Linked DNA regions of Macaca fascicularis. The protein of the gene in region 1 interacts with the protein of each later gene in a biochemical or structural test. Links are inferred from orthologs where the notes say so. Each region holds a gene or a part of one and is shown on either strand. Other genes may lie near its edges.

Region 1 (12,406 bases):
GTAGGTGCACTGCTACTTCACGAAAGAGACATTCTGGCCCATCCATTGCCTCCCTTAAGACTATACAAGCGTCTAGACCCAACTCTACACAGACCGGGTGGCTTAACAGAATTTTATTTCCTCACAGTTCTGGAAGCCATGAGCCCGTTATCAGGAAGTTAGCAGGGTCAATTCCTTTTGAGGCCATGAGGGAAGTATGTGCCCCAGGCCTCTCTCCTTGGCTGTGGATGACTGTCTTCTCCCTATGTCTTCACATCATCTTCCCTTTGACGATTCTTGCCAGTGCTGTTTCTTAGTCTCTGCCCCTCACCATTGCTCTATTTGTCCCACCAGAGGACTAGGGTTCATCTCTTTCCTCCTATTAAATCTCCAACCAGGAAAGGAAGATATGAGGAGATCCTGAGTGAAAGGAATGGCCCTCATCTCGAAGGCTAGTTACTCTTTCTCTGTACCGGTTTACCTGTTCTCCCAAATATTCTGGAAGCTTATTCCATCAACTACTCTGTTTTGTTGCTGTTGTTTGTTTGTTTTCCTGTGACTTCCCTCTTCTTTTATAGCTCCTTATGGTCTACCTGAAAACATGTTCAGACTTCCCAATGCTACCTCACAATTATTATCTTGTTACTCTCTTTCGGTTTTCCACCATTTAGTGAAAGCGTGTATGTCTAAGAGTTGCTTACACTTAACTCCATATCCTCAGCTCCTATGGTCTTCTCAAACAATTTCTCTCCAGTGTGTTTCCAAAACCCTTTATCCTTAATACCACCACCTCTTTCTTAATTTCCAAGTACTAGAGCCATTTCTAAATGACTTCCTTTTAGAGCCTCTTTCTAAATGACCATTTTGTATCCTTTGGCAATGTTTTTCACAGCTTTCTTCCTGACACTTTCGCCTACAGTTGCTTCATCAGGATGACATTCTCTTGGCTTGCTTTCTGCCCCACTTAATTATCTTCTTCTGTGTGTTTTTTATTTTATTAGTTGCTGCCAAATGACTCTCAAACCAACAAGCAAACAAGCACCAGCAATATATGAGTGTATCCTTTTCTAATAGTATTTACCATTATTGCCAGTAAAGGTGTTACAGAAAATTTGAGGTGATCACCAGCCTGATGGGTATATATCCATATCCGGTCATTTCTTTAAACACTATTTCCCTCACCACTGTAAATGTGAACAACTTTTGCTGTTTGTTTGGCAATGTGGATTTGCATATCTGCTGACTCGGAGGCATTTGACTGTACTCAGGTTTCATCCATTTTGTTGTTGTTTGGGTTGCTTGCTTTACAATTTATAAGAGCTCCTGGTACAATGTAGATAGTAACACTTTGTTAGTGCATGTAAAGAAATTTGAAGTTGTTGTAAGAATCTACTGATTTTGCTTATTTTTTCCACTTGAGGATTTTTATTTGCCTATATTCAAAACACCTCTCACTTCTTTTATAATAGCAGGCTTTCAGCCACAGATTAGAGTCTCCCAACACAGAGATTATGTATATTATTCCCAGAATAGATCATCCTGAATAGTGATCTTTTGCCAGTTACTTTTAACAAAGTATAATCATATTCGACTTGTAAATGAGAAAATGAGATTTAGGATTTATCAAGTTTCTCTTTGAAAGAAAATGTCATTTTTCTATTGGATAATAATCTATTTATAATAAAGTTAACCAAAATCCACCCCAACCAATGCAAAGCAAACATTTATTGTGACTTGGTCTGGAAACCTTTCATTACAAATTTAGCTACAAGATATTTACAGAATATCTTATAAAGTTTATAGTTTGTTTTATATATTTACTCCCATTTTAATTCTAGATCCATCCAGATCCATGTTTTTTATTTTTTAATATAGCATAAGGATCCAGCTTTTGTTTAACTATTCCAGTTTAAATAATTGTTTTAAATCACTTTTTAAACCTATTGAGTTAAAATAGAAATTGAAAACAAAATTATTAAATTGAAGGATATGAATCTTTGGTTCATGTCATAAATCCACGGAGTTGTCAATGATTATGTGAAGACTTTCTGTATTTTTTGTGTTCTGATTACATAACAATTTTTGAATTATTGTATTAGAAATTATATGGTACTGGTATATCTTAGAAAGTATATAATCAAATGAACTTTCTTCTTTTTCATTAATAGACTCTAGTTTTTAGAGAAATTTTAGGTTTACAGAAAAATTGAGCAGAAAGTACAGAGAATTCTCATATACTCACTTTCCGCCTGCTCTTAGTTTCCCCTATTACTAATATCTTGGAATGTTGTGGTCCATTTGTTTTATTGGTGAATACATTATTATTAGCTAATTGCCATAGTTTACATTAGGGCTTACTCTTCATGTTATACATTTCTATGCGTTTTGCCAAATGCAAACACCATTATAGTATCATACAGAATAGTTTCACTTCCCTAAAAATCTCTTTTATTTTTCTGAGACGTAGTCTCGCTTTGTTGCCCAGGCTGGAATACAGTGGCACAATCTTGGTTCACTGCAATCTCTGCCTCCTGGGTTCAAGTGATTCTCCTGCCTCAACCTCCTGAGTAGCTGGGACTACAGGCATGCACCACCAGGCCCAGCTAATTTTTTGTGTGTGTTTTTAGTAGACGGGGTTTCATCATGTTGGTCAGTCTGGTCTTGAACTCCTGACCTGATAATCCGCCCGCCTCGGCCTCCCAAAGTCCTGGGATTAAAGGTGTGAGCCACCATACCCAGCCCACTTCCCTAAACATCTCTTATTTATTACTCCTCTCTGCCACCAACTCCTGGCAACCATTGATCTTTTCAATTTCTCTATAGTTTACCTTCTCCGGAATGCATCTTATTGGAAAGAAACAGACATAGCCTTTTCATACTGGCTTCCTTTTCTTAGCAATACTCATTAATGATTCCTTCATTTCTTTTCCTCGTTTAAAAGCATTTCTTTTTATCACTGAGTAATATTCCATTATATAAATGTACTGTAGTCTATGTATTCATTTACCTCTTAATGAATGAGAAATATCTCAGTTGCTACCAATTTTTGGTAATTATGAATAAATTGCTGTAAGCATACATGTGCAGGTTTTTGTGTAAACATGATTTCCTAACTCATTTGGGTAAATATCTATGAGCACAATTGCTAGATTGCATTGTAAGACTGTGTTTACGTTTGTAAGTAACTGCTAGACTATTTTAAAACAGCTGGAACCTAGAAAGCAGAGTTTGACCTTTTGACCTTAACACATATCTTAATTTTCCTTCTGTAAAACTTCTTGAAAATGTATTAAAGTAAAATTTGTCATCATAGTGAATGTGACAAGGTCTTATTCTCTTACTTTAGAATAATATAGAGAGGGATATGGATACTATATTCAGGGAAATAGAAAAAGACTTGTGAAATACAAAATTACTAATCCTAGCATGATCCTGATGTTGGAAGTATAATAGTTGAATCATCAAGTCATTGGCTGACTTTTCCTAAGTCACACAGTGATAGATACTAAGCCATCACTGAATCTGAGTTTTTATCTTCTCTAAGACATTCCACCCACAAAAGGAAATATAGAGAGGCAGGGAGGTAAGATCTTTTTCCCTAAGTGAAGTCCAACAAAGGCACCTCCCTTTGGCTTTCGCTACCCACGTGACTACTTCATTAACCTGAAAGAGTAAAATTTGAAAAAAATTCTGTCTTTAATTTATGTGAATAACTGAGGAATAATAATAAGGAGAATCCCAATAACTCAGTGTGTGTGTGATAATTATTTGCCATGTTAAGAGGCAAAGGGAAAAACATTTATATCACTAGTTCTCAAAATGCTTTGACCTGGGGACACATGAGAAATACACACTAAAATAATGATTTTCACTGGCTGTGGAGAGGGGTATGAGGAAGCTGAGGGGAGATTTTGGAATTTCAGTGAAATGCTGTTCTTGATCATTCAGAATATACCCTTTCTTCCATATAACAAGTAATGCTTAGATAGAGCTGAATGTAAAGGATGAGGGGACACCTTACTAAGATCAGATATTTTGCAAGAGTCTTATGCACAATGAGATGTATGTGAGAGACTCCATATTTCCTCTCCTTGTTTTGTTTCGTTTCCTCTTCACTGTCAGATTCTAAACCAAATGAGTGAAAATAAACATGCTGTGAAAAACGTAACATATAGTGATTGATTTTAACTGTCTTTTTTCTTTCCTTCTCTTTCTTTATTTTCTCTGTTTGTAAAGTAAGCGGAGCCGATGAATCATCATCTTCTAGAAACAGCAAGTGGTGAGTCATTTATCTGGAGTATGTGGCGTTTCACCCACAAAAAAACATTTAACCCATGATTATCCCCTAACTGTTAATGATAACGTATTTTACTTGTTCTTTTATTTCCATAAATCTACTCGACATTATTATTGTGTGAAGAAAAAGATTCTGACAGATTATTCACAGCAATATACCTAGATGATTAGTGGCTTTCTTTTTGTTTTATGTTTAGGAGTTTCACTTGCCTTTAGTGTTACAGCTGGAAGTTAATTTTGGAAAAACATTCTTTTCAGTTTTTTTCTTAATTCTGCTACAATTACCATGTTTATTGTTGATATTTTAGGTTTGTCTATGTATTACAAATCTAAATACATAAAATAATTCCATTCAGTTTATGGCACTGGTAATAGCAGCAACAAAACAAAATGAGACTATATATGTGTTCTAGGTTGTTATATTTTATAAAATGTAAGTGAACTTTTTTCTTCATTTCACAAGAGCGTCACTGTACAGGAATGTTCCAATAGTTCCATTACCAGAGTTAGGAATACAAATGCAAATTAAAGACAAAAAGAAAACCAGATTTTGTATAATTATCTTATTCCTTCTCACCTGATGACATAAATATGGTATTAGAAAGTTAGTCTACATTTGTAAAGATCAATGTGCAATATCAGTTAACTTGTTAGCAGATAACTAATTATTTTTCAACTTACACATATGATAGTAAAAACATATATTGACATTTTCTGAAATATTTAGATTAGATGATCCTCCTACTTCAGGATATGTTGACTTCATTGATATTGGCCTTGAGAACTTAGACTGTATTATAAAATACTGTTGATCTTTACAAAGTATTTTCATTAACTTCCTGAACTTGATGTATTTTACCTGAGATATCTATGAGAAAAAGAGGAAAAGAACAAACCACCAAATGTAGCATAAATTGAGCCATAATGCTGTGAGAGTTTACACTTGTGCACTTTAATGGAAACATCATATAATATTTTGTTGGGTTTCACGAAGAATGAAAATGAGCCACTATGGAAGTTACCAGAACCAATTTTCCTTCCATCAGGTGGGAAATTTCTTATGGAATGTGTTCTGTAATAGTTGCTGATCCAATAATCTTTTCATTTCATAGGTCTAGTTCCTTGTTTTGTTGTTCAACTAGTTTCCATGTCAAAGATCTATGCGTATCAAAATTTATGCATAACTGATCTATATTACAATTTATATATACAGTTCTATGTAACTGACTCTATTTAAAAGAATTAATGTAGATAGGCCTTTTAATGTCAATGCTTTCATTGAATGTCATAATGATCAAATTTTTGGCATTACCTTTGTTCAAAATTTTTAGCCAATCTGGAACTTTATTACTTCTATATTTCTTATAACAACAAGCTATATCTAGGAACAAAAGTCTTTTGTTTTTGAAGGCAAAAAAAATATAAATAGAAAGTCATTCGGCACTGTGTAATGTTAAAATTTACAAATATTATGTTATTTCTCCATTGTCACAAGAATTCTACTGGATAGACAACTTAGATAATGCCCCTATATACAAAAGTAAAAACAGCTAGGCATGGTGGCTCACACCTGTAATTCCAACTCTTAGGGAGGCAGAGGCAGGAGGATAGCTTGAGCCCAGGAGTTTGAGACCTGCCTGGGCAATATAACAAGAACCCATTCTCCACTAAACGGGAGGGAAAAAAGACAACAAAACAAAAGTAAAAACAGGTTCAGGAAAATTAAATATGTCCCTAAAGTCACAGAATAATAAGTGGAGGTGGAATTCACATGTAAAATTTTGTTTGTTTAGTTTTGAAGGTAACATACTTTTTTTAGTCTACAACCTATTTAACTACAAAAGTGTGCCAATCAGTGGTATTAGGATTGGGGCAGATGTATACTCTGAAAATAAAAGTGCAAAATAAATATACCATCTGGAAATAAAAGTGCAAAATACAGAGGGGGGAAAAAATCAGTCCTTCCATTTATTTTCCTTTGTAATGCCAGTTGAGTTGGTTTAGTGAGTAGTTTTGCAAGACTTGTTTCACTTTGTTTTTGGACATAGCTGAGCCACGTACTTCAAACAGAAGGCAGCCAATTACTAACTTCTGGTTGCTAGGTGTGGCTTCCTTTCAAATCCTATAAAATCAGGAGCCCAAGTCTCCACCGCTAGTGTGAAATCTTCAGAGAAGATTTTCCCCTTAGTTCTTTGCAAGAAGGTAGAGATAAAGGTAAGTCTTGGTTTTCCTTTTAGTTAGTTTTGGTTGTTTTGAAAACTTTTCTCATCACTATGTTAAATGTTACTGCTTCTACAGGATTTATGGTTAGTTGCATTTAACATGATAAGTCATTCATAAATCTTTCTGTAGAATTACATTGGATATTTATATTTTAGGAATCACAAATTACAATGTTTTTGTTCTTCTTAGTTAACAAATACAAGTAAAAATATGATAAGTTTGCTTAATACTGGCTCATTGTACTCTTGGTAAGTTACCATGAGAAAGAAGGAAAGAATGTGCTTTTCCTTTGGTAGCCTTTAAAGAATGTGTTTTTCCTTTTCTTCCCCTTGAAATATTTCTTCCCAAGAGCTGTGTGTGTTTTACTGAGAAATCATGATGGGGGCTGCTTTTTGGGGGCAAGAACAAAAGTGATAAGAGTGAGCTGCAGGGAACTGTTTCAAAATAGTAGGACTTTCATAATTTATTTTCCTCTTTTGTAAGGAAAACAAGATAGATCAGACCTCAAAGTGATAATCATGCCCTTTGTAATAAACATTTTTAAATATATGTTATGTTTGCTCGTGCTATTTAAATTAAAAATATATGTTATGTTTGCTCGTGCTATTTAAAATAAGAAGGTCCGCTTATTACTTGTTTCATTTAAAGAGGGTGTGGTCACATTCCTTTTCTTGGAGGCTCTGTGTCATATACAGGCTTTTCAAATGCTGGCTGGAAAACCTAAGAAGGGAAATACTTACTGGGTAATGTCAGATACATTAGCCTAAGGGAATGTTAGTAAGGCCCTCTAACAGCTATTCCACTTGAGTGTTGCATGAGCTAATGGCCATAAAACTCCTTAGAAAAGCGCAAAGCAAAACTAAAGAAGAGTATTTACTGGTGTTGGATATATTTGTAAAAGTGAGATTACAAATCATGACCATATATCTGGGTATTTTTTCTTAAACATATTCCTTCAAAGATTTTTCTGTTTTTTCATTTTAAATGTTTATTAAATGTTCTGATTTCTTATGTTCACTGCTAGTTAATTAACAAGGATGAGATTTTTCCTGCCTCGATTATGTCTAAAAGATTGTATAAACTTTGAAAAAGCAATGTTACCCCCTTTCCACAGGAGTATTTTGGTAGCTGTGAGAGAGTGCACTTTGCAAATGACTCAAATGTGGTAAAATGTTGGTTTCATAATTCTGAAATGGCCTCTTCCCCAAAAGTGACATTACCACCCTAGCTCCAGGCTCAACCACATCTGGCACATAGTCAGCATTTAACAGATGTTGACAAAATACTTAAGAATAATATTATTAAGGAACCAACCAGAGTTTCAGGCTTATTAAATACTTTTTCAACCAAAATGTCTGCAAAGGTTGATTTCTGAAGATGACATTAGCTCTCTCTAGGCCTATTAATTTATGACATTTAAAATAAGAGCTAAACCAGTGGAATATTTTCAATGATAAACTATAAACAGTTTTTTGAAGTCAACTATTTCCTTTTCCTTTAAAGTTGGAGAGAATTTCATCAGGAAGCTCAGAACAGATCCAATTTACACAATACCCTCCTTCATTATGCTAGTTTTCTTCATCTTCATCCACTTGAAGTAAAATTTAAGATTGGCACTTCAGAGCTGTAAATGGATCTTAGATACTAATTACTTCAACATTTTTATTTTATAAACGAAGACCCTCTGGAGAAGCTAAATGTTTTTCTTGAGGTCAGATGCCAGATAATCAAGAACTAGTACACTTCAATTTGTATTTTATATCCTATAGTTGTGGGGAGAAAATGTTTGTTAAATTAGTGTAGATATGTTTTTAAAAATATTAGCAATGATACATGATACTCATTCAATAATACTTATTAACATCCAGAATTCCAGGCATTTTGCTAGGTATTGGAAGTACATACATAATGAATATTATTATGTTAGCACGGGCCTCATGGCCTGCTCCTGGGGAATATAAATAAACCAATGGAAAGTGATAATACAGAATGGTGGGGCTGGTGTAGGGGTGAAGTCAGGATGCTATGGGAGAGCATGGAAGGTCACCTAATCCAAGACTGAGGAACGAATGAAGGGTTTCTGAAGAACATGATGAGGTCAATGCTGACGCCTCACTTAGGAGTAGCTATTAGTTAGGCAAAGAGAACTGAATGTGGAGAAGGAACAAGTATTCCAGGCAAGAAGAACACCCTATCGAAAAGCTCGGAAGCAAAACATTAGTGAGGCTACCTTTCATAAATTGCTTTTTGTAAATCATGCCATTGTGTAGTCTTAATTGCCTTCTCTCATCAGGAAAGGTGTGGGAAGGACTTGTGAAATATATATTCGAGGAAAAACTATGCACAAGGCATGCATTTAAAAATAAACTCCCTAAGGCTGGGTGAAACTTGCCATGGTCTGCACAAGTTGACTGTTAATGAATTTGATTCTCAGGTGTGAGTTATTAAAAAGAACACTGATCATGTCGTTTTCTTTTTGGTCACTAATTTAAAAGAATAACATCCTTCCCTCCTTCCTTCCTTCCCTCCTTCCCTCCTCCCCTCCTCTCTCCTTCCTTCCTTCCTTCCTTCCTTCCTTCCTTCCTTCCTTCCTTCCTTCCTTCTTCCCTTCCCTTCCCTTCCCTCTTTCTTTCTTTCTTTCTTTCTTTCTTTCTTTCTTTCTTTCTTTCTTTCTTTCTTTCTTTCTTTCTTTCTTTCCTTCCTTCCTTCCTTCCTTCCTTCCTTCTTTCCTTCCTTCCTTCCTTCCTTCCTTCCTTCCTTCCTTCCTTCCTTCCTTCCTTCCTTCCTTCCTTCCTTCCTTTCTTCCTTCCTTCCTTCCTTCCTTCCTTCTTTCCTTCTTTCGAGTCTTGCTATGTAGCCCAGGATGGAGTACACTGGCATGATCTCGGCTCACTGAAGACTCCACCTCTTCCTAGGTTCAAGTGATTCTCCTGCCTTAACCTTCTGAGTAGATGGGACTACAGGCACTCACCACCATGCCTGGCTAATTTTTGTACTTTCAGTAGAGACGGAGTTTCGCCAAGTAATCTGCCCACCTTGGCCTCCTAAATTGCTGGGATTACAGGTGTGAGCGACCATGCCCAGCCAAAATATACAACACTCTGGAATCAAAAGGGATGGATTTATGTCACCAGTCTTACCAGTACTAGCAGGAAGACTGCCTGAAAATAATACTCAGTTTTCCCAGATAGAAACTGAGGATAATGATGAAAGGCTGTTATTCCAAGCAAGGGTTAGTTGTTGCTGTTACTATCATTGCAAAACTCTGATAGTTCTAGATTGTAACCAGGAAGATATAATCAACCACAAACCTCAGCTTCCTCTGTCACAAATACTAGAGGTAGCCTTTCAGGAGGCTGAGAGATGGAAAAATGAAGGGGGTTCTCTTTTAGGACACATAAATATGCAAAAAATGCTACTCTTTAGAAAGTTATACATTCAAATAATAGATAAGTTGACATTGGTAGGCAATGCATATTCACAAAAAGACCATTAATTAGAAGAAATGTGAAATATTGTTAATTTCCTTATAGATTAGCCTATGTATAAATGGCTAATTTCACTTTCATTGAGCTCATGCTAAGTACTTAAATAAACTTAGTTTTAGAGCTTATTGTTGGTTAGTTGAAATCTGTATTGAGTTAGTTAAAATCTGTAAGTTGATAGAACAGGCTCTTTAAGATCTATTGCAAGCTTTATACACTGCAAACAAAAAGACAGAAAAAAGAAAACCTTTTGTGAACTCATTGGCACAGGTAGATTTTCATGCAGAGTATAGGTACTGAGAGTCAGAATGGCTTATGGATAGAATTTGGCCAATATATATATAAAATGTATTTGGTATTTGTTAGATGTATTATAATTATTAGGAAGCTCAGTTAATATGTGCAGTTGGCTTTGGGCCCTTAACCAGCTGTATGTGATAAAATCTGTTTCCTTTAGAGCAATTTCTATATCCTGCCTTGATGCTCCTGTCTTTAATCTTTGCTAAGAGCTAGTGGTGAATTTGGCTGAATTCAGATTCCGTTTTTCTCTAATTGATTTCTTGAAGAAAATTCTCTATTGGCTGCTTTTCTTTCCTAGATTATGCTTTTAGTCTATCCAAATACTTCAGGCTGGAATGTAGGAACTTAAAAGATATAAATCACAAAGCTATCTCCTCTAGGGATGCTCTCTCTGTCAAATAAGTGACTTAAACTACTTATTTTTGTTATCTTGTATTGTGTAATTAGTATACCTTTTCCTAGGCTCTGTCTAGCTTTTTTTTTTTTTTTTTTTAAATGGACATTATTCAAGTATTTTTTAGAAGTAAAAAAAAAAAAAAAAAAAACTACTATGGTAAAGTTTTTGTAAAGTTTATTTTGAAGTTATCAGAGACACCTTTAATTTTAGACTGGACTATATCTTTAGTCTTTGTTTTGCTTTCTTTTGAAGTTTTTATTTGCTATTTGAAAAGAATGGAATTAATGAACATGTTTTTATAAGTGATGGAGTAGTACTTTACCAAATGATGAATTATAACACTTATTTTGATGATTCTTCTTTATCGAAGGCTTGGATGAGATGATGAAAATGGAAATTTAGAGTGCCTGAAGCTGCTAGAATTGCTTTTAAAGTATTGGGTGTGTCAATTAAGAAGTTGGAATATGAAACTCCATGTGGCAACCGCAATTGCACAGACTAGATTGTAATGGGAACTAAAACCTTGTGCAAAATTGCACGTTGTTACTTCACCTCAGGAAACAATTTTAAATTTATCGATTAAATTTAGGAAAGAGGCAACTTTAAATGAGTGGAAAAGGTATTGGTTCTTCTCACAGATGACAGAATAGTAATAAGAGCAATCCCATGAGAATTAAGTGGAGATGGTTTCTACTTTGGATATTATTTTCTTCATGCATTCAGTGTTATTACTTGGAACTCCGGTTATTTTTTAGCAGGTGTAAATTGAAAGGGTTTGTCTGAACATGCTGTTGTGGAATTAGTTTATGGGTTTTATGCCTCATGAGTCACTTATCTTCATATCAAGAATTTAAAACTGCCAAGATTATCCTCTCAACCTCTCTCGCAAGTATTCATGAGAGTAGTCTCTAGAGGGGTGAAACAGAATGGTGTGGATAGACAGATCAGTGTAGACCTTGAGCAAGGCCTCTGAAAAACGTCCCCAGACTAAAAGGATCGTGATGGCTTTTTATGTGTGTGTGGCCAAAACAGAGAATACATTAATTTTTAATATATCTAAGATCTTAAAAATATATGTCTCATTAAATAAAAATATTGCCAAGTCATGATAGCAATTCAAGAAATTTCCTTTAAGATAGAGTTTGCCAAAAGAACATGCATGTTACAAATTTCACCTCTAGGCTTCCCTTTAGAACCAAAAATCCTGTATAAAGTAATCCTTTTCTGGGTTTTTTGTCTTGGGTGGAAAAATACATAGGACTACTATTTAGACAGCTCAAATAGGATGAAATGTGAAGACAGCAATTATTTCAATGCTGAATAATTTTATACCAAGAAATAGAAAAGGAAACTAAATTATTCAGGGAGAAATATCACCTGGATATCTTTTTATAGATAAAATTTTAAATCTGAATTCACTTGTACAGGTTGTCACAGATTATTTTACCTTATAAATGTAATCATTGTCTGGGAGCGGTGGCTCACACCTGTAAATCCAGTACTTTGGGAGGCCAAGGTGGGCGGATCACCTGAGGTCAGTAGTTCAAGACCAGCCTGGCCAACATAGTGAAAACCTGTCTCTACTAAAAATACAAAAATTAGCTGGGTGTGGTGGCCAGTGCCTGTAATCCCAGCTACTCAGGAGGCTGAGGCAAGAGAATCACTTGACCCCAGGAGATGGAGGTTGCAGTCCTATCACTGTACTCCAGCCTGGGCGACGGAGCAA
Region 2 (12,292 bases), on another chromosome or scaffold:
AGATTCTTCTTATATATCTGCTCAATGAATGAGGGAATGTTGGAAATACTGAAGTGAACAGGGCACCACCTCTGCCCTTAAGCAGCTTGGAGTCCAGTGAGGAAGATGATTAAGTAAACATAAAATAACAGTAGAGTATGATACGAATTATGATACAACGAGCTATGGGAGAACATAAGATAGACACTGGACATGCTTAATTCCTCTAGCATCGAATTGTCCCACTTACCTCAGACTCAATTTGATCAATATCAAACCATCATCTTCCCTTAAGCCCCTCAAAATGTTATTCAGTTTATGTTCTCTATCTTGGGGATGGTACCACTACCACAGGGCTATCAAGCTAGAGTCCTAGGATTCACCCTTGATGCCTCCTTCTCTCTAATGCTCCACAGCTCAACAGTGGCCAAGTTAGGTTGGTTTTGCCTTTTCAGTATTTGGCAATTCCTTCTCCCCATCTCCATGGCCATCTCACCTTGGTTATTGCAACAATATTCTAATATTCTTTGCCTCTAGTCTTTCTTCTTTCTAGAACATGTTTTTTACACTTCCAAAAGTGAAGGGGATCACATCACTGTCCTGCTTAAAAATCTTCAGTGTTCCTTGATACATAACCCTCAGGTTACAATCCAAACTTCCAAGTGTATCTCCTAATGAGCTGACCCTTATCTCTCCCATCTCACATCCCACAGCTTCTGCCTCACATTTAGCATCACCCCACACCCTAAAGTCTGGTTCTACTGAACCACCTGCAAGTACTGAGAACATGAACAATGTTTCATCCCGAACCTTAATTCTACACAAGCCACTATGTAAAACTTCCTCTGAAGATAGTGCTGTAAGTCCTAAGCATTTTACATGAATTAACTCTTAATCCTCACAACAACTACTATTCTCTCAATTTTACAGATGAGGAAACTGAGACACAGAGCCAACATATAACTTGCTAGATTTCATATCACTAATATGTTGTGACAGCAACATATTAGTGACGGGAATTTGAACCCCAGTCTCATGGCAGTCTGTGGCTGTAAATACTGTGCTATCCTGCCTGAGTTCACCTATTTTCACTACCATGTTCATCCACCTGGTGAATCCTTATTTACCCTTCAATACCCACCTCAAGCAGCACTTTTCCAGGACACTTTCCTTGCACTCCCGGAGTTAACCTGTCATTTCTTTCCTGGCATTGTCATTGAATCTTTGTCACACCCTTGCTATTGGGTTTGTCACATTGTACTGTGTCCATTTCAGAATGAACCCAATGATACACAGAGATCAAATTGCACATAAGAATTACCTTGAGGCATGGAAGTTCCTACCTTTATTTCCTGAGCAGCCCTTTTAATCATCTGTATATCATTTTTGTGTCTTGCTGTCAGTTTACCAGCTCTCACTCATCCTCAGCTCCTTGCCGGCTCCAGCCCTTCAGTTCGATTCATTGTTTGCCTACTTTGTCAAATCTACCTTGCCTGCTACCTTTCCTGAACTCTCCCTCCTTTGACTGGTAACCTAGAAATGAATCCCTTTCAGCATGACCCTGGGGAGCAGCTGTCAGGCAGGCAGCCCTAACTGGGTGGGGCTGATCCCCCAACCTGGCTCTGGACAAGTCATACTTATTTGGTTTAGCATTTTTTCTTTTCTTTTCTTTTTCTTTTCTTTTCTTTTCTTTTTTTTTTTTTTTGAAACGGAGTCTCTCTCTGTCGCCCAGGCTGGAGTTCAGTGGTGCTATCTCAGCTCACTGCAAGCTCTGCCTCCCGGGTTCATGCCATTCTCCTGCCTCGGCCTCCCGATTAGCTGGGACTACAGGCGCCCACCACCACGCCCGGCTAATTTTTTGTATTTTTTAGTAGAGACGGGTTTTCACCCTGTTAGCCAGGATGGTCTCAATCTCCTGACCTCGTGGTCCTCCCGCCTCAGCCTCCCAAAGTGCTGGGATTACAGGCGTGAGCCACCGCACCTGACCTAGCTTTTTTCTTTGGTTTCATTTAAGCTACTTCATGGGGCTGAAGAGTTATCGAAAGAACAAATGTCATAGAGAAAATAAGAAGAACTAACAACTAGGTTTAGGAAGAACAAAAACGCTAATGAAGTCAGACTGCAGGCTCTTCACTCCCAGTGGTTCATCGTTTTCACAACTCAGCGAACACCCAAGTAGCTTTTTCTTTAATTTACAGTTAGCAATTGGCTTACATTCCCCTCTGTGTATTTCTTCCAAATTTCATAGCTTCCACTTACTCATGATGTCTTCTCCATAATTTTTATTTGCCATGACTTCATGTTCTGTCTATGCAAATATTCAGCTTCGGCTCTTCTAAATGCCTAATTCTCTATGTGCTTCTAATTTCAGCTTCCCAAGAACAAGAAGCTTTTCGGCCCTAGTTCATCTTTCCGTGTTATGTCATGAAACATCTACTACTGGCCATCCTATAGATGGGCAGTGCTGGTGTCCAGAGCTAACCTCAACCCAATCCACTCTAACAGGGTCACAGTGTGTCAAATCATGCAAAACTTGGCCACCTGGGCTGCCCCTTGAGCAGAGGCTGTAAGTGAGGCATTTTCTCTTAAAAAGAACTGTAGTGGCTGGGCATGGTGGCTCTCACCTGTAATCCAAGCACTTTGGGAGGCCAAGGCGGGCAGATCACGAGGTCAGGAGTTCCAGACCAGCATGACCAACATGATAAAACCCGTCTCTACTAAAAATACACAAAAAATTAGCAGGGTGTGGTGGCACACACCTGTAATTCCAGCCACTCAGGAGGCTGAGGCAGCAGAATTGCTTGAACCCGGGAGGCAGAGGCTGCATTGAGCTGAGATCACACCATTGCACTCCAGCCACCCACCTGGACAACAAGAGCGAAACAACATCTCAAAAAAGAAAAAAAAGAAAAGAACTGTGGTGTGAAAGGCCCCATGATTGAGTGATGGAGTAATTTAGACAAATGATTCCTTAATATTTTGGGATCATAAATGTTTCTGAGAATCAGATGAAAGATATGGATTCTTCACCAGAAAAATTTCTCTTATGCAGAAAATTTACGTATAACTTTAAGGTATTAAGGAACCCCAGCAGCCACTCACGTAACACCCACCACCACCAAAGGTTTGAAGTCTATTACCTGGCACTTGAAAAAAATTGTGAGTCAAAAAGGCAATTAGACTCAGTGGCTCCAATGCTCTCAAGCAGGGAAAATGGTAGAGTGATAGTACCCTTAGCAAAGAAGAAGAGAAAAACAGGTTTGGGGAAAATTAGTTATTCTTGAACTGTTGAGTCTGAAGTGCAAGTGGGACTCTCAAGTGGATTCATAAACAAGTAACTGAAAATGTGGGTCTGGAGTAGCTGAGAACTGAGATGGAGATTTGTCTCATGTGCTCAGGGCACCTGTGAGAGCAGGTGCGGGGAAGCAGTTCACACAACGCCTACAGCCCATTATCTTTCATTCGAATCTACTCTGCAGTTTTTGGAGACCTTTCTAAGCCCTCACTTTACTTGACAGTCCTAACAATCTTATGAAACAGGAAAGGCCTATCTCAAGACCTATTACACATAAGGAAATAGAAGCTCAAAGGAGTGACAAGTCTTGTCAAAAGTATTGCAATGAAGTAACAGACACAAGACTGGAACGCAGGGCTTTTGATTATTAATACAACTCCCAATTTAGTTGCAAACTGCACACAGATAAATGCCTTACTAGCACGGATCAATTTTTAAGTGCAGTAGTTTGGTTTTTGGATTTTGTCTTTGCGGCTGTCCTCAGTTTACAGAAAAGTTTGAGAGAGAGGGGTGGCAGTCGTCCCTTGACAATAATCCCATGGCAATTGATTTGGCAATACTCACCACTGTTTACTGTTAAATATCTTCTTAAATATCTTCCCTGTGGAGCAATAGACAGCCCCAACTCCTACAAACTTGTCTACAATTCTGACCCACACTCTGTCCTAATGCTCTTGCTTTTGTTTTTTGTTGTTTGTTGTTTGTTTGTTGAGACGGAGTCTCGCTCTGCCGCCCAGGCTGGAGTGCAGGGGCGCTCACTGCAAGCTCCAGCTCACTGCAAGCTCCGCCTCCCGGGTTCACGCCATTCTCTTGCCTCAGCCTCCCGAATAGCTGGGACTACAGGCGCCCGCCACCACGCCTGGCTAATTTTTTGTATTTTTAGTAGAGACGGGGTTTCAACGTGTTAGCCAGGATGGTCTCCATCTCCTGACCTCGTGATCCGCCCGCCTCGGCCTCCCAAAGTGCTGGGATTACAGGCCTGAGCCACCGCGCCCGGCCCACTATTGTTTTTAAAAGAGACCTTTCTGCCTATCTAACCTAAATGCCCAGAATGAGCTCATGAAAGACCCACGGACATGGACAGACTTCCTGAAGACTACTGTGCAAAACTTGTAAATCTACAAAGTCAAAAATCTTCAAGATTCACAGGACGGGGTGGAGAGGGCCGGGGGGAAAGAGGAGGGAAAAGAGGGAAAGGAGGGAGAGTGAGACTGCTTAAATCTCTGGAGAGGACGGTGGGTTTGATTCTTAAAGCGCAGTTCTGTGGTTAGCGCAGGCCGCCGTCCCAGGCCCAGCCCGGGAGGCGGGGCGGGGCGGGCGCGGAGGCTGTCTGAGTAAGGCCTGGGCAAGGCTGGGCCGGGAAGGGCGTGGGTCGGGGAGAGGTTGCAGACCCGCACGCCGCGCGCACAGAGCTCTCAGCGCCGCTCCCAGCCACAGCCTCCCGCGCCTCGCTCAGCTCCAACATGGTAAGCCTCGCTTTTCTTCTTCTTCGTCTTCTTCGTACATGAAAAGAAAAAGAATTTTAAAAAACACACACATACTTCCCAGCCGACTTTATCTTTGACTTATGTGTGGACGTGGCAGGAAACAGCAGGAAAAATCAGCCTCGTGGGATGGAACTAAGGGAAGAAGGGATGGAAGGAAGAAGCCCTAAAATCATCCCTGTGGTGACAGCCTAGGGTAGCAGCGGAGGTTCTTTAGCCTTCCCAGTCACGACAAGGCCCGGGGCTGGGAAAGAGGAAGTGCTGGCAGCTCACCGCGCGGGGGCGGGGACCAGTCCTGGGTCCGTGCCTGCAGCCCCTCGCCCGTGCTCTCCCGGGAGCCCAGGGACGCCTAGAAGCAAGTTGAAGGCAAGGGGCTGGAAAGCTGCGAAGGGTCACTAGTTATTTCTGTAGACCAGAAAAGGGACATTTTAGAACTTGGTCGTCTAGTCCCAGGAAAAATCAAAGTTTCAGTAAGCAGCCGGCCGACGGCCAAGACCCAACGGGACTGAAACTTTAGCCCGTCGCCGCCGGCAGCACTGCGGCCAAGAATGTGGGAGGAACCCGGTCCCAGCTGAGCCCTCTCCTTCCTCTTCCTTTTACCCCACCATCTTTTTAGGGACTCGCTCCGTAACTTATTTTTCTCTTCTTATCTCCTTTCATCTCCCGGTTGAACTCGTATTTTCCATAATTACACCTCCAAAATCTCTTTCTTTACCTCTCCTTAGTGAAGAGAGCCAGCAAACTTTGGCCTGCGGGCCAAGTCGGGTTTTCTGTTCTACCCACAAGCTAAGAATAAAATTTACGTTTGTAAATGGTTGAAAGAAATCAAAAGAAGAAAAATACTTTCTGACATGTGAAAATTATGTGGAAATCAAACTTCAGCGTCTATAAATGAAGTACTGGAACACAGCCACGCCCATTCCCTTCCATACTGTCTGGGGTTGCAGTCCTGCTACAGCAGGGACAGAAAGCTCCGGAGGGTGTTGGTTAAGAATGAGAAGACAATAGTTGAGGTTTTTAAAATTGCTACTTCCTTTTCATTGTATTTTTTTATTCTTTCCTCAAATGTTGAGCGCTTAGCATGCATTTTAAAAATTATTTCACAGTATCCGTTTATCATAATGTTTGCTCCTTGCTATCGCCATCCCCACCAAATAAGACTCCAAGAGTGCCATGAGGTGTGGCGAGCACCTGTTCTCTCCTTCAGCCACGGCTCCACCATGGGCAGAGCTTTTCGGTCTCTGGGCGTCCTCAGGACCCATCTCCAAAGTGCCCTGGAGCTCTAAAGATTATGCCATTACATTTTAGTAATTTGATAATTGTATTTCTTTCTTTCACTTCGGAGAATTACCTCTGGGAGGAAATGCAAAGAGGTTTTAATTTTCTTGTGGCTGATAGCAACAGCAACAGTTTTCAAAAGAAGGTAATCTCTAAATTACATCAAGACTGATGTTAAGGAGAGAAAAATGTGTAACAGAAAGGCACTGTGAAACTGGAAAACAAAACTGTCTGCATTCTGGAAGGAAAAGGGGCAGGGGGAGAATCTGTAGTTCCAGAGAAAGGTGACAAAGCCCACGCTCCTCAGCCTGGTGTGGCCTGCCAGCCAGCCTCCTTCCTGTCATCTGATACCTTAGTAAGACAGGGAGATTTTAGGCCTGATATAAAGGGCATGTTGTAACAGAACAAACACATCTGTTTCTAGGCTGTGGTATTTTGTTTCTCCCCTAAAGGCCCCTGAACCTACCAACACTTTTCTTTTTTCTTCAGGAAAAGTTCAATTTAGGGCAAAACAAAAAAAGTCATTCTCCAATCATGTGATTCTTGGGTAAAAGTCCACCACTGTTAGGGTTCAGGGGTTCTAATGCTGTAAGATGCAATGGGAGGCAGGATCTCAGCTAGGATCTCTGTAGCATAAAGGCTGTACAGGAAGGAGGGATCAATCTGCAGCTGTGTAGCTAAGGGCTCAGATCAGTTCTTAGCTCGTGTGAATTACGGAGTGAGAAAGCCTGTAGCTCTGAGCTCCAGGAAGTCCATCCTAAGAACAAACGAAAGGCTAAATGCTAAATTGCAAATGTCACCATCCAAACATAAATCATTGTTAATGCTGGGAGGTGAAGTCTCAGAGGAAGGGTGTGGTCAGGCCGGTTTCCCAGGAAGTCTGTAATTGCGGCTTCTATCCACCAGAGGGAGCCCAACAGCTCCTCACTTTTGGGACCCCAAGTCCCTGCTGGAATAACCGGATGACTGGGCCCTGTAGAATTTCCCTGAAAAATTCTGCTGTGAGGAAAGATGAGCCCAGTACAAGATTTAAATATCTTACATTGTAGATGCTGTGTAAGCAACAACCTGAGAGCTTCCTGGTTTGGAGTGACCTCCAGAGAAGCTCCACCTTCTCTGTCACTATTTCTCACCAGGAAGTGGAAGCCTGCAAGGCTAAGGACTGCAGAACGGGACTGAGAGGCCCAGATTCCAGGGCTGGCTCTGTCATATCCATTTCCTTCTCCTGTCCGTTTTCTTACATCTAAGATTAATGATTCCTAACTCTTAAATATGAAAGCCATTTTCAAACATCTAAAAAGTTCTCTCTCCCACTGCATACACAATGATAGCTATGCTTTTAGTTTTCTCTAAGGAAATGTGTGAGTCCCAGGAATTTGGTATTGCTTTAAAAAGAACTGACATTTCATTAATCACAAAAGCCTCCATACACTCTTGGAAAGTTGGAAATTATTAACCTATAGACAGTGCTTGGTGTGCATATGGATTTGTGGATATAGAGTTACACATGTATTTATCCACACATTCTAAAAGTATGAGTAAACCTTGTCACCCTCACTCTCATCTAGGCAGTCTACTGCTTTTAAACATGCCGACAATGCCCCACATTTACCCTCCATATATTTCACCTGGAATAAACATGTGGAGGGGGTAGGACGGAAGGTCACAGAGTGTGACTTTTTGTGGTTGTCTTGAACCCCTCAGCCCCCTGAAAAAAATGACTCACTCTTTTGGGAAACTGCTTTGACCTGAAATAAGATTCCGTGGAGTTTTCTGCAGTATCCAGCCCTTGACATCTTCCCTTGTCTGAGCCCTGCATTTTTTTTCTCCAAAGGCAAAAGTCTCCAGCCCTACAGAAACTGAGCGGTGCATCGAGTCCCTGATTGCTGTTTTCCAGAAGTATGCCGGAAAGGATGGTTATAACTACACTCTCTCCAAGACGGAGTTCCTAAGCTTCATGAATACAGAACTGGCTGCCTTCACAAAGGTACTGGTCCCTGTCTCCCCCACTTCCCCAAAATACCCACATCATGAAACGAGACCCTGACAGAATGGCCAGGAATGAAAGACCAGCAACTGACGCCCCACACTCTTGCTTCATTTTAACTCACTCTAAGCCAGGAGTTTTTCCATTTAGGAAGAGAGATATATGAAATGGTATATGACATAATGGAATTGTTTTCAAATTTTATTCTTACACCCCAAAGGTTCTAGGGCAGCCCTGTCCAATAGAACTTTCTGCAGTGGTGGAAATACATTCTATATCTGCTCTATCCAGTATGGTAGCCACCAGCCACATGTGCCCACTGAGCACTTGAAATGTGGCTAGTGTGACTAACAGACTGACTTTCTAAATTAGTTAATTTAAATGTAAATGTAAATAGCCATATGTAACCAGTGGCTCTAAGTGTGTATCTGCGTTGGCAGCTTGGGCAAGTGGAGGATGAGAGTGATTAGGCAGGGCCTGTGGCCTTTTTCCACCTGGACCCGTTGCACTTTTATGCAGTTTATCTATTGGAGTTGCATGCAACACTTGAAAGAAGTGTTCCGCTGGCTTTACAAAACTGAATAGCCCCTAATGTCATAGAAAGAGCCCTGGACAAGGAGTGGGAAAACCTTTGGTCCAAGCCCCAGGTCTGCCCCTTAGGCAGGTCACTTTACCTCTTTTAGTCTGTTTCTGCATCTGGAAAATGGGAATATTAATAATCCCTATCCTGTACCTTATACTCCTGTGAGAATAAAATGTGGCAGCATATTTGAAAGCACCTTAGAAGATGCAATATAAAGGTATAATTATTATCATCTCTGCAGAACCAGAAGGACCCCGGCGTCCTTGACCGCATGATGAAGAGACTGGATACCAACAGTGATGGACAGCTAGATTTCTCAGAATTTCTGAATCTGATTGGTGGCCTAGCTATGGCTTGCCATGACTCCTTCCTCAAGGCTGTCCCTTCCCAGAAGCGGATCTGAGGACCCCCTGGGCCTGGCCTTCAAACGCATCCCCTTCCTTCCAGCCTTTCTGTCATCATCTCCATAGCCCACACATCCCCTGAGCCCAGCATACCAACCACCTCATGCAGGCCCCACCTGCCAATAGTAATAAAACAATGTCACTTTTTTAAAACATGAACTGGAGAGTTGGTGAATTTGTGCATGGGAGGGTGGAAAGTGGGAGGAATATAAATTAGATTGATAGAAGCTGCATAGTAAATAAGAAAAATGCATCTTGGGTGTATACATAATCATGACTAATAGTACAGCCAGATTCATTTCTAAATTGTTGACTGATGGAGAGATGTCACTTATTGTCATTGTTTACTCACTGCTACCCCTGTTGGCACTGTCAGATCCTGAGAATACAACCAGCAAGACAGACAAGGTCCTGCCTTCACTGAGTGTAACTTCTAGTTGCAGGAGGAGAGAACAATGACTAAATAAACAAAGGACTATCAGAGTATAATAAATCCTAGGAAGGGCAGATTACAATTATGTTACAGATTCATGGGGACAATGAGAGGGCACTATTCTGAGGACATGCCATTTGTGCTGAGATAAGAAGAACTAGAAAGAGCAAACATTTGAAAAGAAGGAGAAGGCATTTAAAGAGAAGGAATGGGAAGGGCAGAGGTCCTCCAAAGATGAGAAGGATCTGGGTTGTTTGTGGAATAGAAAGGAGGCTCGTGTTGCCAAGGTCTTCATGTTTGGCTTAAGCTAGTGTTAACACTAGTTTTAATTTTCTAAACCCTCTGATAAAGCAGCAGGGAAAGAGAGCCCAGAAAGAAGGTAAGAAGACTGACCCAGGGTTAAAGATGACAGATTAGAGGAGAGAGAAAGGGGCAGGTTTGTGCAATGTGCAATTATTCCTAAGAAGCACAGGGAAGAACTGATGTGTTTCCCGAAAACTTCTGATTCCTTATCCATTTATATGAGTTTTAACTAATTGGCAAAAATTTCTCTAGATCATGGTTTATTCCTTCATAAATTCAGTGAAATGGATTAGACCACATCTGAGGTCATTTTTGGCTCTGACATTCCAAAATGAAGGCCAGCGCCTTAGGGTGAGCCACTGCCTCAGCCGTTTACAGTTGTCTCAGCTATACCTGCAGCAACTGCAATTATCTTCAGCACATTTGAATCATCAAGTCTTTGAAAAGAATTCAATTTGACTTTCATAAAGATAAAAACTATCTCTTCACACCCATATTTTACTGGTTTATGGGATAATTAATTAAATTATACCTTACAAGAAAAACGGACCGGGTGCGATGGCTCACGCCTGTAATCCCAGCTACTTGGGAGTCTGAGGCAGGAGAGTCACTTGAACCCAGGAGGCGGAGGTTGCAGTGAGCCAAGATCGCACCACTGCACTCCAGCCTGGGCATCACAATGAGACTGTCTCAAATAAATAAATAAATAAACAAACCATGTTGTATTTGAGATGTGTTCCTTGTGTGTGCCTGCTCCTTGTTTTTGCAGCATCCATCTCCCCTTCTTCCTGAATCAAGCCCTGCTCTGCACTCCCCATCTCTTGGTGTTCTTAGTTTGGGTAGGGTTCTTCCCCAGTTCTAAGAGTCAAGGATACACCTATGCCGAAACTAATGAGTGCCCTGCATTCCTTTGGACACAGCAATTGGCCGAGGGTGGTCTTGTGATCTAAGCTGGTCAAAATAAAAGGAATCTCAGTACCTTCGCTGAAAATTCTGGGATAAAGGCAATTGCTTATTCCTCCTTCTCGGTGGATTGTAATCTGAGAGTTTGTAGCCTTAGACATGCCAATAGCCATCTCAAGACAACAGGGAAGGGATCTAAGAGTGGAGCCAACATTGGAGAAACGGAGCCAAGAAATTTTAAAAAGATACCAACTCCTAGTGCTACGCTAAGACCCTTGACCCACAGAAACTGTGAGACAGTGAAATTGTGTTGAGTAATTAAGTTTGTTGTAATTTGTTACACAATAACAGATAGCTAACACACAGTTGTAATTCTTAAGCTGTGCTAAAGCTAAAGCTGTGCCTTGACTGTGCAGCTATATGAGTCAATATGTCCCTGCTTTTGCTTAAAATAATTTAAATTGAATTTTCTATCACTTGCAACAATAAAAATCCTAGCTATGGGATATTAGGTTAAACAGATGAACTGGGAATTTGAGAAAGAGAGAGCCGAGCTGGAGATATAGAATAGTATGTCATCTGCACATAGACCAAAGTCATGAGTTTGGAGGTTACCCAGGGAAAATGAGCAGAGAAGAACTTCCCAAAACATGGTCTCTAATCCACCTGCATCAAAATCGTTTGGGGGGAGGGTGTTTTAAAGGGCAAATTAGGAAGTAAAGGCAGTACAAAGTAGTCTACTCCTTTGAAAAGGTTGTGAAGTGATGAGAAGGAAGAAGGTAGGATGTAGGGGTGGGACGGTATCTTCATAAATTTCTTCCGGTTCCCATTATGTCAGTGTTCCCATTCTAAGAGCTATCTTTACTCTTAAATTCTTGCAATACAGCTTGTGGTGAGCGAATGCTAAGATAACCCCCAATAATCCCCCATTCTCATATTTACATTCTTGTGCAATCTCCTCCCCCTGAGTGTGAGCAGGACCTATGACACGCTTCTAACCATTAGAATACAGCAAAAGTGATGGTATGTCACTTCCACAATTTGGTTACATAGGACTGTCTTCCATCTTGCCAGCAGGGTCTCTATTCCCTTCTCAGCTTGTACGTTTTAATGAAGCAAGTCTGGAGAGGCTGACGTGGCAAAGAACTGAGGATGCCCCTGAGCAACAGCCAATTACAAGCTAATGTTCCCAGGCTAACAGCCCTCGAGAAACTGAATCCTGCCAACAACTATGTGAGTTTGGGAGCGATTCTTTCCCAATTGAGCCTCAGGTGAGACCCCAAGCCCTGGGCAACACCTTGACTGCAGCTTTCTAAGATACCCTGGGCTGAGGCCGGGCGCGGTGGCTCACGCCTGTAATCCCAGCACTTTGGGAGGCCGAGGCGGGCGGATCACAAGGTCAGGAGATCGAGACCACGGTGAAACCCCGTCTCTACTAAAAATACAAAAAATTAGCCGGGCGCGGTTGTGGGCGCCTGTAGTCCCAGCTACTCGGGAGGCTGAGGCAGGAGAATGGCGTGAACCCGGGAGGCGGAGCTTGCAGTGAGCCGAGATCGCGCCACTGCACTCCAGCCTGAGTGACAGAGCGAGACTCCGTCTCAAAAAAAAAAAAAAAAAAAAAAAAAAGATACCCTGGGCTGTAA

What was found.
Region 2: the proteins of ANXA1 (region 1) and S100A11 form a complex in vitro, tested with the Homo sapiens proteins (2 studies listed by BioGRID). The link is inferred for Macaca fascicularis from reciprocal best matches to the Homo sapiens genes ANXA1 and S100A11.

Annotation. Positions count from the first base shown.
Region 1 is NC_088389.1:103,843,886-103,856,291, forward strand, and holds the start of ANXA1 (annexin A1), read left to right. Parts: upstream 1-6,429; 5' UTR 6,430-6,489; intron 6,490-12,406. UniProt on the Homo sapiens protein: Plays important roles in the innate immune response as effector of glucocorticoid-mediated responses and regulator of the inflammatory process. Has anti-inflammatory activity.
Region 2 is NC_088375.1:109,111,824-109,124,115, forward strand, and holds S100A11 (protein S100-A11), read left to right. Parts: upstream 1-4,632; 5' UTR 4,633-4,737; coding exon 4,738-4,740; intron 4,741-7,870; coding exon 7,871-8,023; intron 8,024-8,847; coding exon 8,848-9,009; 3' UTR 9,010-9,169; downstream 9,170-12,292. UniProt on the Homo sapiens protein: Facilitates the differentiation and the cornification of keratinocytes.